Linked DNA regions of Macaca fascicularis. The main gene of each other region encodes a partner of the protein of the gene in region 3 in a complex. Links are inferred from orthologs where the notes say so. Each region holds a gene or a part of one and is shown on either strand. Other genes may lie near its edges.

Region 1 (3,746 bases), on a different chromosome or scaffold from region 3:
CCAATGTCTTCTCCATGCCCCGGTCCTTCCAGGCCTAAAAGCTCCACTTCTGGGGCTCCATCCCCTGGTGGCTACAAGGACAAAGAATCTGACATCCTGAAAGCCAAAGACCTAAGGGGAATCAAACAAGAAACCTCAGAGAGGAACACAAAGTAGCGCAGTTGGGGGTGTTTACACAGCAAGCAGAGTCCAGGCAGTGAGGCCACAGGACACCTGACAGGCACCTCCAAAGAAGATCTTCATGGGAGCAAACACTCAGGGACCAAGGCAAGTCCAAAGTGGCTGTGGAGAAGGCCCCTGGCTTCTGGCCGTCAGCACAGCCAAGGCCCCAATACACAACTAAAGGCTTTTATTGGGAAAGGGAAATTGACTGAAAAATGGCCTCCAATTTCCTCACTGCCTGAGACACTTGGTGCCTTCTCCACAAAGTCCAGGAAAGAATGACCCACCAAACTGGGCCCCCAGCAGGCTCAGGTGTAGAGCTCAAAGTCAATGCGTTTGGAGTTGTAGAACTGACCACCAGGGGGGTCCAGCTTCCGGCAATAAACACCGTCCGGGAAGTAGCCTTCACTCACCCAGGTCTGCAAGGAGAGGGCAGAGCTGGGGAAGGACTGACAGGAGTAGGGGAAGCAGGGACAAGCCAGAAGGAGGGAGAAAGCAGCTCACCTGCATCTGGGCGCTGGTGAAGGGCCCATACAGCTCGGCATCCCCCGTGTTCTCCCACTTATATTCCCACATCACATCCACCAGACCATCTCCTGGCGACTCTGCTTCTAAAATAACAGGCAAAGCCATTTGACCTCCGGTGTCTCACTTCCCGCCCACTGCCCCCTCCTCTGTCCTCCAAGCTTACCTCCTCTCTGGGTAGGGGTTGGGGTCTCCAGTTCCTCCTCTGCCACTTCCTCAGCGAACATGTCCAGGGAGGGTGGGGGTGTGGGATTGTGGGGTCCCACGGTCTGACACCCCAAACCCTTCAGCCGCATAGCCAACCGTTCCCTTGTTTCCTGGTACACGCCAAGGTTGCCCCGGGCCACCATCTGGTCGGCCAACCCGGAGAGCCGGTCCAGGCGCTGAGGGGAACTGGGACGCCCAGGCCCCTTGCTGCTCCCTTTGCCTCCTCCTCGGGCCCCTAGACGCCTCAGTGCCCCAGCCACTGTCTCTCTAGGCAACAGAAGCTCCAAAAGTCCCTCCAAGAGGGCTTGGGCACTCATTGGGGTCTGGCCCAAGCTGTCTTCCTCCTCCGAGTCTGAGGCCTGGTGCTGGCCAGGTGGCCGCTCCCGGATCTTCACCTGTCATGGAAAGATGCAGTGATTTCCCACGAACTGCCATGGGAGCAGGCCTAGCATCCGCCACTCCCCGGCCCCAGCCACACCAGCCCCTGGGCCTCACCCAGTCAATGTTGTCCAGCCAGCTGTCTCGGATCTGAGCATCCCGGTTCAGGAAGTAGTTGCCATCAGCATCAAAGTGTCCTTCCTCCATCTCCTCCTGCAGGTTAAAGGGTGTGATCCGAACACCCCCCTCGCTGGGGAGTGTGGCTGCCTCCTGACCTGTACCAAAGACACAGGTGCCCTTTTCTAGGCATGGAAAAGAGAGACTGGAGCCTCCCTCACTCCACACCACCAGAGGCCCCTACTTGTTTCTCCAGCAGAGTGTATTCTTGGGTACAGCTCACCTTCTACATCCTCTGAGGCCAGGATGTCGTATTTGCTGGACCCCCCATCATCATCATCCTCCTCATCGCTATCCAAAGAGTGTTTGCCTTTGAAGCGGCTCCCAGGACCCCCTGACCCAGCCACAGGGTCCACCAGCTGTGAGCAGGAGTCAAGTCAAGAAATGCAGGTTACTGGCTACCTCCCCAAATACTTCCGGATCTGGACCCAAATATTCCCCAAATATTTCAGGATCTCGACTACTTCCCCAAATATTTTAGGACCCACACTGAAGATGCTCCCAACCCATTCTTCAGAGAACCTGAAAAAACTAGGCTTTTCTCTGCCTGCCCGCCCCGCCCCACTCCCGCCAGCTTTCTTTCTCCTCAGGCTTCTAGCTCCTCTCTTTCCCCCACACAAAGGAGTCTGGCCCCCTCACCTTCTTCTTGGGGACACTGATTTCATCCTCATCTTCCTCATCTCCCACGCCTTGGAAGGTCACTTTCCTCTTTGGCATGACGGGGCAGAGAGGTGTTTCTCAAGCTGAGGAAAGGATACAGAGAAAGAGAATGGGGTGAGGAGGGGACTCGCCACCAGAGGACCCAGCACAGCAAATATTTTTCCTGGTCTGTGACAGGTACAGTTTGGGAGCGGAGGGAGCACAAAAGCAAGGGCTGAAGAGAAGCTGGCAGCCAGGAGGCCTGCAGGACTTGGGTCTAGCATCCGCGAGTTAAATGGGGTGGGGACGGAGGAGCGGACCCTCTGGATCCCCTGACCCTGGCCAACAGGGAACAGACTTCACCACGTGACCGCTCCCAACTCCAGCCCCCGCAGTCTGGGCGCCACCGGCTCGACCGGCTGACCCCCGCCTCCTACTCTGGCTCTCTCGGAGCTCGCGGGGCCCGGGCAGACCCAGGACCTGGCGCTCTCGCCACCCCGTTCCTCCCTGCTCCGAACTCCCAATTCCGTGTGGTGAGCCCCAACTGTCCCGGGCTGTGTACAAATTAGAGGGCCACGGGGATCCGGGCTGTCCCACCCTCGCGCGCTCACCTGGGACTCCGCGGGAGGCGAGGTGGCGAAAAGAAGAGATGCTTGCGCCAAGGCTACATCCGGGGCACCCGGCCGCCATCACCCGGAAGAGGACTGTGGAAGGCGCCTGGGAAGCCCGGAAGTGGCTTCACTCGGGTTAGGGAACTAACTGGAAGAGCGGGCGGAAGTACGCGGTGAGCGAGGGAAGACGCCTCCACCCTCTCTCCCGCAAGAAGTGACGTCAGTCGCGTGGGAGGACAATGGCGAGAAGAGGGGACCTGTGAATGCCTACACTCTGACCGGGCGTGAGAAATGGCCGGAAGTACCTTCGATTCCCTCATTCAAGCAGTAGAGGCTCTGGAGAAAAACGAGAGCATCTACTTAAAGGGTCGCCCAGGGTCAGGATGGAGGGGCAAAGTCCGAGCAGGGCCAGTGGGTCGCTGCCCCGTTTTCCTGTGCTGGGTTCGAGTCACCCTTCCACCAGGGCTGAGGGCTCAGCGCCCCTACCGTCTCGTTAGAAATCCTGCCTTCCCACTCCTGTGGTCCGGTGGTAAGCTCTCCTATCTGAGAGGTGGAGCCTTGCCCTCCCCGAGGGGAAGCCTGGCTCTCCCGATGGCCAGCCCGGGGCCCCTGGACGGCTCTCGGGGCACTTTCTGGACACAGCTCCCTTTAGGACCCAGGGGAAGTCATTTGTCCCACGCCCATACCCTGGGCGAGTTCCTGGCTTCTGAGGTGGGAGAGCCATCACTGGAGAGGTGGCATTGGCACCAGTACCCAGGCCAGAAGTCCCTGTGCCCTGCTCTCAGATAGGCCTGGAAAAGGGCAACAGTGCCTCTCTGTAGCATGAAGCCCCTCTGAGCAAACAGGGCCTAGCACCACGGCCTGGAAAAGGGCAACAGTGCCTCTCTGTAGCATGAAGCTCCTCTGAGCAAACAGGGCCTAGCAACTCGTGCCCAGGTAACAGAATGTGGCCCAAGCAGAAGCGGGACTGGGGGAGGTGGCGGGGGGTCAGCCCCTGTACTGGAACCTCTAGCTCTTGAGGACACTCGGAGCCTGCATCCCCCTAAG
Region 2 (3,646 bases), on a different chromosome or scaffold from region 3:
TGGGTTCGGGGGGAAAAAAAACAAACAGCCCCTGAACTCCTATTTATACAAAATTTATTATTATATTTTATTCAGGATGACAAGCCATCAGGAGGTCAACAACACAACAAGCACAGACAGAGGGAGAGGCCAAGCTGCTGAATGTCAGCGGCCTGTCTGGAGGGGCTGAGGCTCCGGCCTCAGGAGGCTGAAGCTGGAGGCAGGGAAACAGCTAGGCATAGAGGTCCTCCCGGTCCGCAGAGTAAACCTCCCCCTCCTGCAGGAGGGCGAAGTTGAGGAAGTGGGAAGGCCTGTGCACCTCGTGGTAGAACTCTTTGGGGTTCGCCAGCTGCAGCTCGTATTTCATGTTGGGGTCATGCCGAACACCTTCGGGGAGAAGGAAACAGCCAGCGTCAACAGGGCTCCCGCCTCATGCAGCCGGCACCACCTCCAAGCCAGCCAGGCCCCAAGTGTGACAGGCGATGGCCTCACCTTATCACTACTGCTATCCCCACGTCCCCAGGCTCCTCCCACTTACCCATAAAGTTGTAGTTCCACGAGGACTGGGCAGGGACCATGAAGAAGCCAAGGAAGCGGTCCGACAGCAACATCTGGACCCTCTCATAGTGTGAAGGCAGGTAGCCCTTGGGGTTGTTGCCCTTGTCTGTGTTCTGGCGGCCCCATTCGTAGCCGCTGGGGGTCAGCTTGTAGGCCGTCAGTGTACAGGAGCCTGGTGTGAAGCTGGGGGAGGGACGAGGACGGAGTAACAGCTCAGGTCACTATTCTGGGCCCTGGCCTGCAATCCCTGCCCCACCATACTTCCTCCCAAGGAGCCCAGGCCCACCTGCACGTGATGATAATGGTCTTCTCGCCATCCCAAGATGGGTTGTCAGCCATGATCTTGGCATGGGTGGTGACATCCTGGGGTGATAATTGCGGGGACTCATTGGGCTGAGTGTGGATCCAACCTAAGGGTTCCATCTCCTATAGGTAAAGAGGAGTACAGAGCTCTTCAGAATCCCATCTGCAGACAGGAATCGCACCAGCTTTTCCACATTCCCAGGCTCCATCACTTTCCATTACCTTGAGGTACTCATGCTGGGGCAGCTGGCCAGGCAGGTGCACGGTCTGGTGAGTGCCCCACTGTGGCACCATCACGATGCAGCGTATCTCCTTCACCTGGGGGTTATCTGGTGGGCTCACCCCATACAGGTATCCTGCAATCTGGAGACAAAGGGGTCAGGAACCAAAACTCTTCTTAGTACCAGCTCAGAGGTGGAGCTGCCAGCCCTGTTTTCCTTCCTTCCCCCAAGAACGAGGACAGTTTCTTAAAACATGATCAGAACCCCTGTATCAGAATCAGCTGCGGTGCTTGTTCAAAATGTTAAACATGGACCTCATTTCAGACTTCCCACATCAGGACCTCCTGCGTGGGGTCCAGGAATCTGCACTGCTCACAAGCTCCCCAGCTGATTATTAAGGATAGCATTCATAAGCAAATGAGCATACAAACCTCCAGCTCAGTGTATTTTCACAAACTGAGAACATCTGGAAATCCAGCACTTGGTGCTATTTTAAATTTTACATTATCACCAAGTAAGAGGATCTGTTTACTATAAACTCACCCACACAGGATATTAACAGTCTTCTCAAATTTGCCAACCTGACAGCCACTAATAGTGGGTTTTTTTTTTTTGAGGCGGAGTCTCGCTCTGTCGCCCAGGCTGGAGTGCAGTGGCGCGATCTCGGCTCACTGCAAGCTCCACCTCCCGGGTTCCCGCCATTCTCCTGCCTCAGCCTCCCGAGTAGCTGGGACTACAGGCGCCGCCACCACGCCCAGCTAATTTTTTGTATTTTTAGTAGAGACGGGGTTTCACTGTATTAGCCAGGATGGTCTCGATCTCCTGACCTCGTGATCCACCCGTCTCGGCCTCCCAAAGTGCTGGGATTACAGGCTTGAGCCACCGCGCCCGGCAATAGTGGGTTTTTTTGAGATGGAGTCTCACTCTGTTGGCAAGGCTGGAGCGCAGTGGTGTGATCTCAGCTCACTACAACCTCCACCTCCTGGGTTCAAGCAATTCTGCGTCAGCCTCCTGAGTAGCTGGGACTACAGGCACATGCCACCACGCCCCACTAATTTTCATATATTTCATAGAGACAGGGTTCTGCCATGTTGGCCACGCTGGTCTTGAACTCCTGACCTCAAGTGATCCACCGGCCTCGGCCCAAAATGATCTTTTATAAACTATGAATATCCCTGATACACTAGTAAAGTTATGCATCTTTTTTCTTTTTTGAAGCAGGGTATCACTCTGTCACCCAGGTTAGCATGCAGTGACATGATCTCAGCTCACTACACTCACCACTCTCCAGGATCAGGTGATCTTCCCACCTCAGGCTCCTGAGTAGCTGAGATTACAGGTGTGGGCCACCATGCCTAGCTAGTTTCTTAATTTTTTTGTAGAGACAGCATTTCGTCATGTTGCCCAGGCTGGTCTCGAACTCCTGGGCTCAAAAGATCTGCCCACTTCAGCCTCCCACAATGCTGGGATTAGTCATGAGCCAGTGCGCCCCGCCTGGAGTGCAGTGGTCATCAAAGCTCACTGCTTTGGTTCAAGCAACCTCAGCCTCCTGAGTAGATGGGACTACAGGCAAAGGTTTTTTGTTTTGTTTTTTTAGATGGAGTCTTCCTCTGTTGCCTAGACTGGAGTGCAGTGACGCGATCTTGGCTCACTGCAATCTCCCCCACCTGGGTTCAAGCAATTCTCCTGTCTCAGCCTCCCTAGTAGCTGCAACTACAGGCGCATGCCACCATGCCTGGCTAATTTTTTGCATTTTTAGTAGAGACGGGGTTTCACCATATTGGTCAGGCTGGTCTTGAGCTCCTGACCTCAGGTGATCCACCACCTCGGCCTCCCAAAGTGCTGGGATTACAGGCATTAGCCACTGTGCCCAGCCTAGTGTTGGGATTACAGGCGTGAACCACCATGCACATCTGGTCAGGAATTTGTTTCTGACCATATCTATTCTCTTCCAAATACTATCAGGTTAATACTACATTTACTACCTTCTCTCAGCTGCCACAGCTTTTGCTATCTCATGGGGCCAAAACCCGCCTCGTTGTTTTGGCTATCCTTGCATAATTACTCATCCATGAATCTTGAAACCAGCATCTCAAGTTCTAGACAATCTCAGGTCGGTGTTTTAGGCACAAAATGTGTTGGGCACACACTGTGGCCTGAGTCCACTTACTCACTTGGGCCCGAAGGTCAGATATGCAGATGAACTTCTTAAGCACATTCTTGGGAAGGATGTAGGTGTAGCCAGTCTCCTTGATGTCGTCAGATGAAACATAGATGTGATTGGTCCTTAGGTGCAGGTTGGCAGCAGAGATGGCCCTAAAAACGTGTAGGGAGTGTCAGCATCGCTCAGCCCAGCACCTTAGGTAGTGCAGCCGGCCTTTCCATCCCCACCCTCTTGCCCCTCACAGTACCTGACCCTCCACTCAGTCTTGGATGAGAAAGTCTGGGTCTCATAGTTGCTGGTGGTGGAGGTGATGATCTCATCGCCATGCTTGTTGACAGTGCGAGTCTGTGTTGCCGTGAGCTGCGACTGTTCCTTGGTCTGCTTCTCGATCTCAGCAATCTGCTGCCGCTGCTGTGACGGT
Region 3 (3,746 bases):
AACAGGAAGATGGCACAGAAGCGGGTGGGAGGAATATTGCCTCTGGAATCAGCTGCAGAGTACGCCTGTTGCCTTTGTTGGGTCAGGTCTCCTGGGGCCCAGCATCTTTCCATGGTGGCCTGAAAGCCAACTGTGGCATGAGGGTGATGTGGATCAAAGAGCTTCTTCCACCGTCACACCCCTGTGTCTCTGGGTGGGCCTGTAGGGTAGCAGATGGTAGTCTGGGAAAAAACACTTCTTCCTTTCTGGGTAATTTGTATTCAGTCATTTAACTCCTCTCAGCTTCCATTTCCTTAAAATAGGCATTCTGTTGTATCTTCCCAGGGTGTTGGGAGGATCCAGTTGGATGCTCTGTGAAACTTCTTTGAAAACAGTAAAACAATATAAGAAGGAATCATGGGTTTGCTGTTACTCTTAGGAAGGGGCTGGGATCCCGGACAATCTGGAATGGGGTTTCAGATGTGGAAAAAATTACCATTCTGCTCCCCTGCCCCTGTTTGTATTAAATGAAACTGTTCATGAGAGCATCAGAATAAGGGGTTAATAGAATATAGAAAGAACTCCTACAACTCAACAATGCAAAAACAACCCAATTTAAAAATTGACAAGGAAGTTGAATGGACATTTCACCAAAGAAGATACAGAATGGCCAATGTGCACATGAAAACATACTCAATATCCACTGATCATTAGAGAAATGCAAATCAAAACTACAGTAAGATACTACCTCCCACCTATTAGAATGGCTATGATTTAAACACACACAGAAAATAACAGGCGTTGGCCAGGATGTGGAGAAATGAGAACATTTGTGCATTGCTGGTGGGAATATAAAATGGTAAGGCCCCTGTGAAAAACAGTGTGGCAGTTCATCACAGTTTAAACAGGGAGTTCCCGTCTGATCCAACAGCTCCACTCCTGGGTTTCTGTGCAAAAGAATTGAAAGCAGAGACCCTAAGAGATATGTTCATAGCAGCATTATTCACAATAGCCAGAAGGTAAAAACAACACAAATGGACATTGACAGATGAATAGACAAACAAAATGTGGTATCTGCGTACAACATTCAGCCTTCAAAAGAAAGGAAATTCTGACACATGCTGCATCATTAATGAACCTTGAAGGATATTATGCTAAGTGAAATGAGCCAGTTGCAAAAGGACAAATGCTGTATGATTCCACTTAGATGAGGTGCCTACAGATTCATAGAGACGGAAAGTAGAATGTGGGTTGCCAGGGCCTGGTGGGAGGAGGGAAGGGGGATAGGGTAGTCGAATTCATAGAGATGGAAAGTAGGATGTGGGTTGCCAGGGCCTGGAGGGAGAGGGAGGGGCAGTTGCTGTTCAACGGCTGCTGAGTTTTGGTTGGGGATGATGGGGTCATTCTGGAGATGGATGGTGATGATGGTTGTACAGCAATGTTAATGTACTTAATGCTACTCAACTGTACACTTAAAATGGCTAAAAGTAATATGTATATTTTGCCACAATTTAAAAAAAAATATTTAAAAATGGTTGAAGTGGTAGATCTTATGTACAAATGCTCCTCAGCTTCCCATGGGGTTATGTCTTAATAAACTGTAAAGTCAGATATACTGTAAGTCAAAAATGCATTGATTACACCTAATGTCCCTAACATTGCAGCTCAGCCTCGCCCACCTCAAACGTGCTCAGAACACTAACACTAGCCTACAGTTGTGCAAAACCATTTAACACAAAGCCTATTTTATAATGAAGTATTGAATATCTCATGTAATTTCTTTAATACTGTACTGAAAGAAACAATTCAAAGTGTGGCTTCTTCTGAATGTGTATCACTTTGCATCATCATAAAGTCGAAGTGTCGTAAATTGAACCATCGTAAGTCAGGGTCCATCTGTATATTTTACCACAATAAAAAAAAATCAAAGACAGCTTTTAAGGGGGATAGAAGCCTCAAACTGGCAGCCTGTGGCCCATTTAGAAGATTAGAGCAGCAATTCAGTCTTGTTGGCTTGGCGCCTAGGACTTTATGGGGTCCAGGGGCTTATAAGCACCCCCAAGCCTTTCTTAGGACCTTAGTACCAACTGGTGTAGCTACTACCTGTTCCTCTGGGATACTGCCCCAGGTGTCCAGTAGAACCCCCCAGGGGGTGGGGCCGGAGTCATGGCCCCAGCCTTAACAGTGGGGCATCTCTGCCCAGATAGTAATTTTCCATTCTAGTCCTGCCCTAGCATCTCAGCTGGGTTTGGACCTTCTTGCTTGGTTTGGGGGGAGCACAGCAGGTGTCCTGGGCCTATGCCAGTGGCAGCTGATCCACCCGCCCCAGAGAGCTGAACACCATGAGGAAATTTCCACAGCTTTCTCGCGCTCGCCCCCCGTCTTCTCAGGAGTGACTTATCCTCTGTTCTCTGTAGGTTTTCTTTTCCTCTGCCTGCAGCATTGCCGTGGATGCCACCCTGAGGAAGAAAGCTGAAAAGTTCCAAGCTCACCTGACCAAGAAGTTCCGGTGGGACTTTGCTGCAGAACCTGAGGACTGTGCCCCTGTGGTGGTGGAGCTCCCTGAGGGCACCGAGATGGGCTAACTCGGGCAGCGCTCTCAGCTGCGAGGGGCCCCTTGCCACAGGGCTGCAGTCCTGGCCTCTCCATTTACTTCTTCCTATCCTGGGACCTGTGAGGGCAGCAATCTCTCCAGATCCCACAAAGATGGAGCCAGAATTCCCTTTTTCACTGATAAATATGTTTCTTCATTGCCAAAGAGGCTGTACCCATCCTGAAGGCACATTTGTACGTTCCCCATCAGCTGGGCCTTGGTGCTAACCTGGCTGAATTTCACACAGGCTCTTACAGAAACTCCTAGGGGAGACCTGCCTACATGGCAACCAGATTCCCTCTGAGTGAGAAGGAATTGAACCAAAAGTCCTAGAAAGAACTGATTGCTTGTTCCATAGGAGCTTAGAAAACGAGAAACCCTGGATTGCCCAGGGGGTCTGAGAGGTCGGTTGGTGACTTTTTTTGCAGTTAAATGCAGGGTGATGGGGAAATGAGCCTGCCTCTTGCTGAATGGGAGCAGAGGACTTGGGCCTGCGGCTTCTTGGAAGCCCTTGATTGGGAAGAGAGTGTCAAGGGAGGCAGCTGGATTCAACCTGGCAGGTGGTCAGCTTCAGCTTTCTCCATCAAAATCCCATTCTCATGTCCAGAGGCCCAGTGGGTCATCTCCCAAGGTGGGTGTGGCCCCTGACCTCAGGGGCCTTGCTGGTGCTGTTACCTCCCACCTGCTCCATCCTGAGGCCTCACCCAGAAGTGGGACCCTCCCCTTCCTCACCAGAGCCACCGTCACTGTTTCTGATGACCTGGAGCGTCAACAACAACCAGAAAGGTTTCTGCCCAGGGCAGGCTTCTTAAGGCCCTTAGGAAGTTTTGTGCCTTCCAAGTGCTGAGGAAGACCTGGTCAGCCTAAATCTTCCCAGTCCTGCTGTGGAGCTGTCAGTCACTGGAATAATAAGCTCCTGGTTCCTTGGGAGTCCTGGGGGCACGCCTTTCGTGCTGTGTGGCAGGGTTCCTCTCTAGACAAGTACACAGGCCCTGCCACCCTGACATCAAACTGCTGTACTATGATCACAGTCCCTGTGCCATCCTTTTCCAAGGCTGGGGCTCACACCAGGTTTTTGAATGAGAATCCCTGCTGGTTAAGACTTTTGCTTCCACTTGTTTCCTTGGAGATGTTTTTCCAAGAGCATAATGTACATTAAAGTCTTCGAGTTGAG

What was found.
Region 1: AAR2 (region 3) and CD2BP2 share a complex: the UniProt entries of both Homo sapiens proteins name them as parts of the U5 snRNP complex. The link is inferred for Macaca fascicularis from reciprocal best matches to the Homo sapiens genes AAR2 and CD2BP2.
Region 2: AAR2 (region 3) and PRPF8 share a complex: the UniProt entries of both Homo sapiens proteins name them as parts of the U5 snRNP complex. The link is inferred for Macaca fascicularis from reciprocal best matches to the Homo sapiens genes AAR2 and PRPF8.

What each region holds. Positions count from the first base shown.
Region 1 is NC_088394.1:28,493,723-28,497,468, forward strand, and holds the start of CD2BP2 (CD2 antigen cytoplasmic tail-binding protein 2), read right to left. Parts: upstream 2,770-3,746; 5' UTR 2,700-2,769; intron 2,193-2,699; 5' UTR 2,167-2,192; coding exon 2,089-2,166; intron 1,809-2,088; coding exon 1,673-1,808; intron 1,548-1,672; coding exon 1,390-1,547; intron 1,290-1,389; coding exon 854-1,289; intron 774-853; coding exon 667-773; intron 601-666; coding exon of another isoform or gene 582-600; coding exon 471-581; 3' UTR 1-470. UniProt on the Homo sapiens protein: Involved in pre-mRNA splicing as component of the U5 snRNP complex that is involved in spliceosome assembly.
Region 2 is NC_088390.1:1,771,891-1,775,536, forward strand, and holds the end of PRPF8 (pre-mRNA-processing-splicing factor 8), read right to left. Parts: coding exon 3,473-3,646; intron 3,378-3,472; coding exon 3,236-3,377; intron 1,204-3,235; coding exon 1,063-1,203; intron 964-1,062; coding exon 824-963; intron 721-823; coding exon 518-720; intron 367-517; coding exon 212-366; 3' UTR 38-211; downstream 1-37. UniProt on the Homo sapiens protein: Plays a role in pre-mRNA splicing as core component of precatalytic, catalytic and postcatalytic spliceosomal complexes, both of the predominant U2-type spliceosome and the minor U12-type spliceosome.
Region 3 is NC_088384.1:92,338,978-92,342,723, forward strand, and holds part of AAR2 (protein AAR2 homolog), read left to right. Parts: intron 1-2,396; coding exon 2,397-2,564; 3' UTR 2,565-3,746. UniProt on the Homo sapiens protein: Component of the U5 snRNP complex that is required for spliceosome assembly and for pre-mRNA splicing.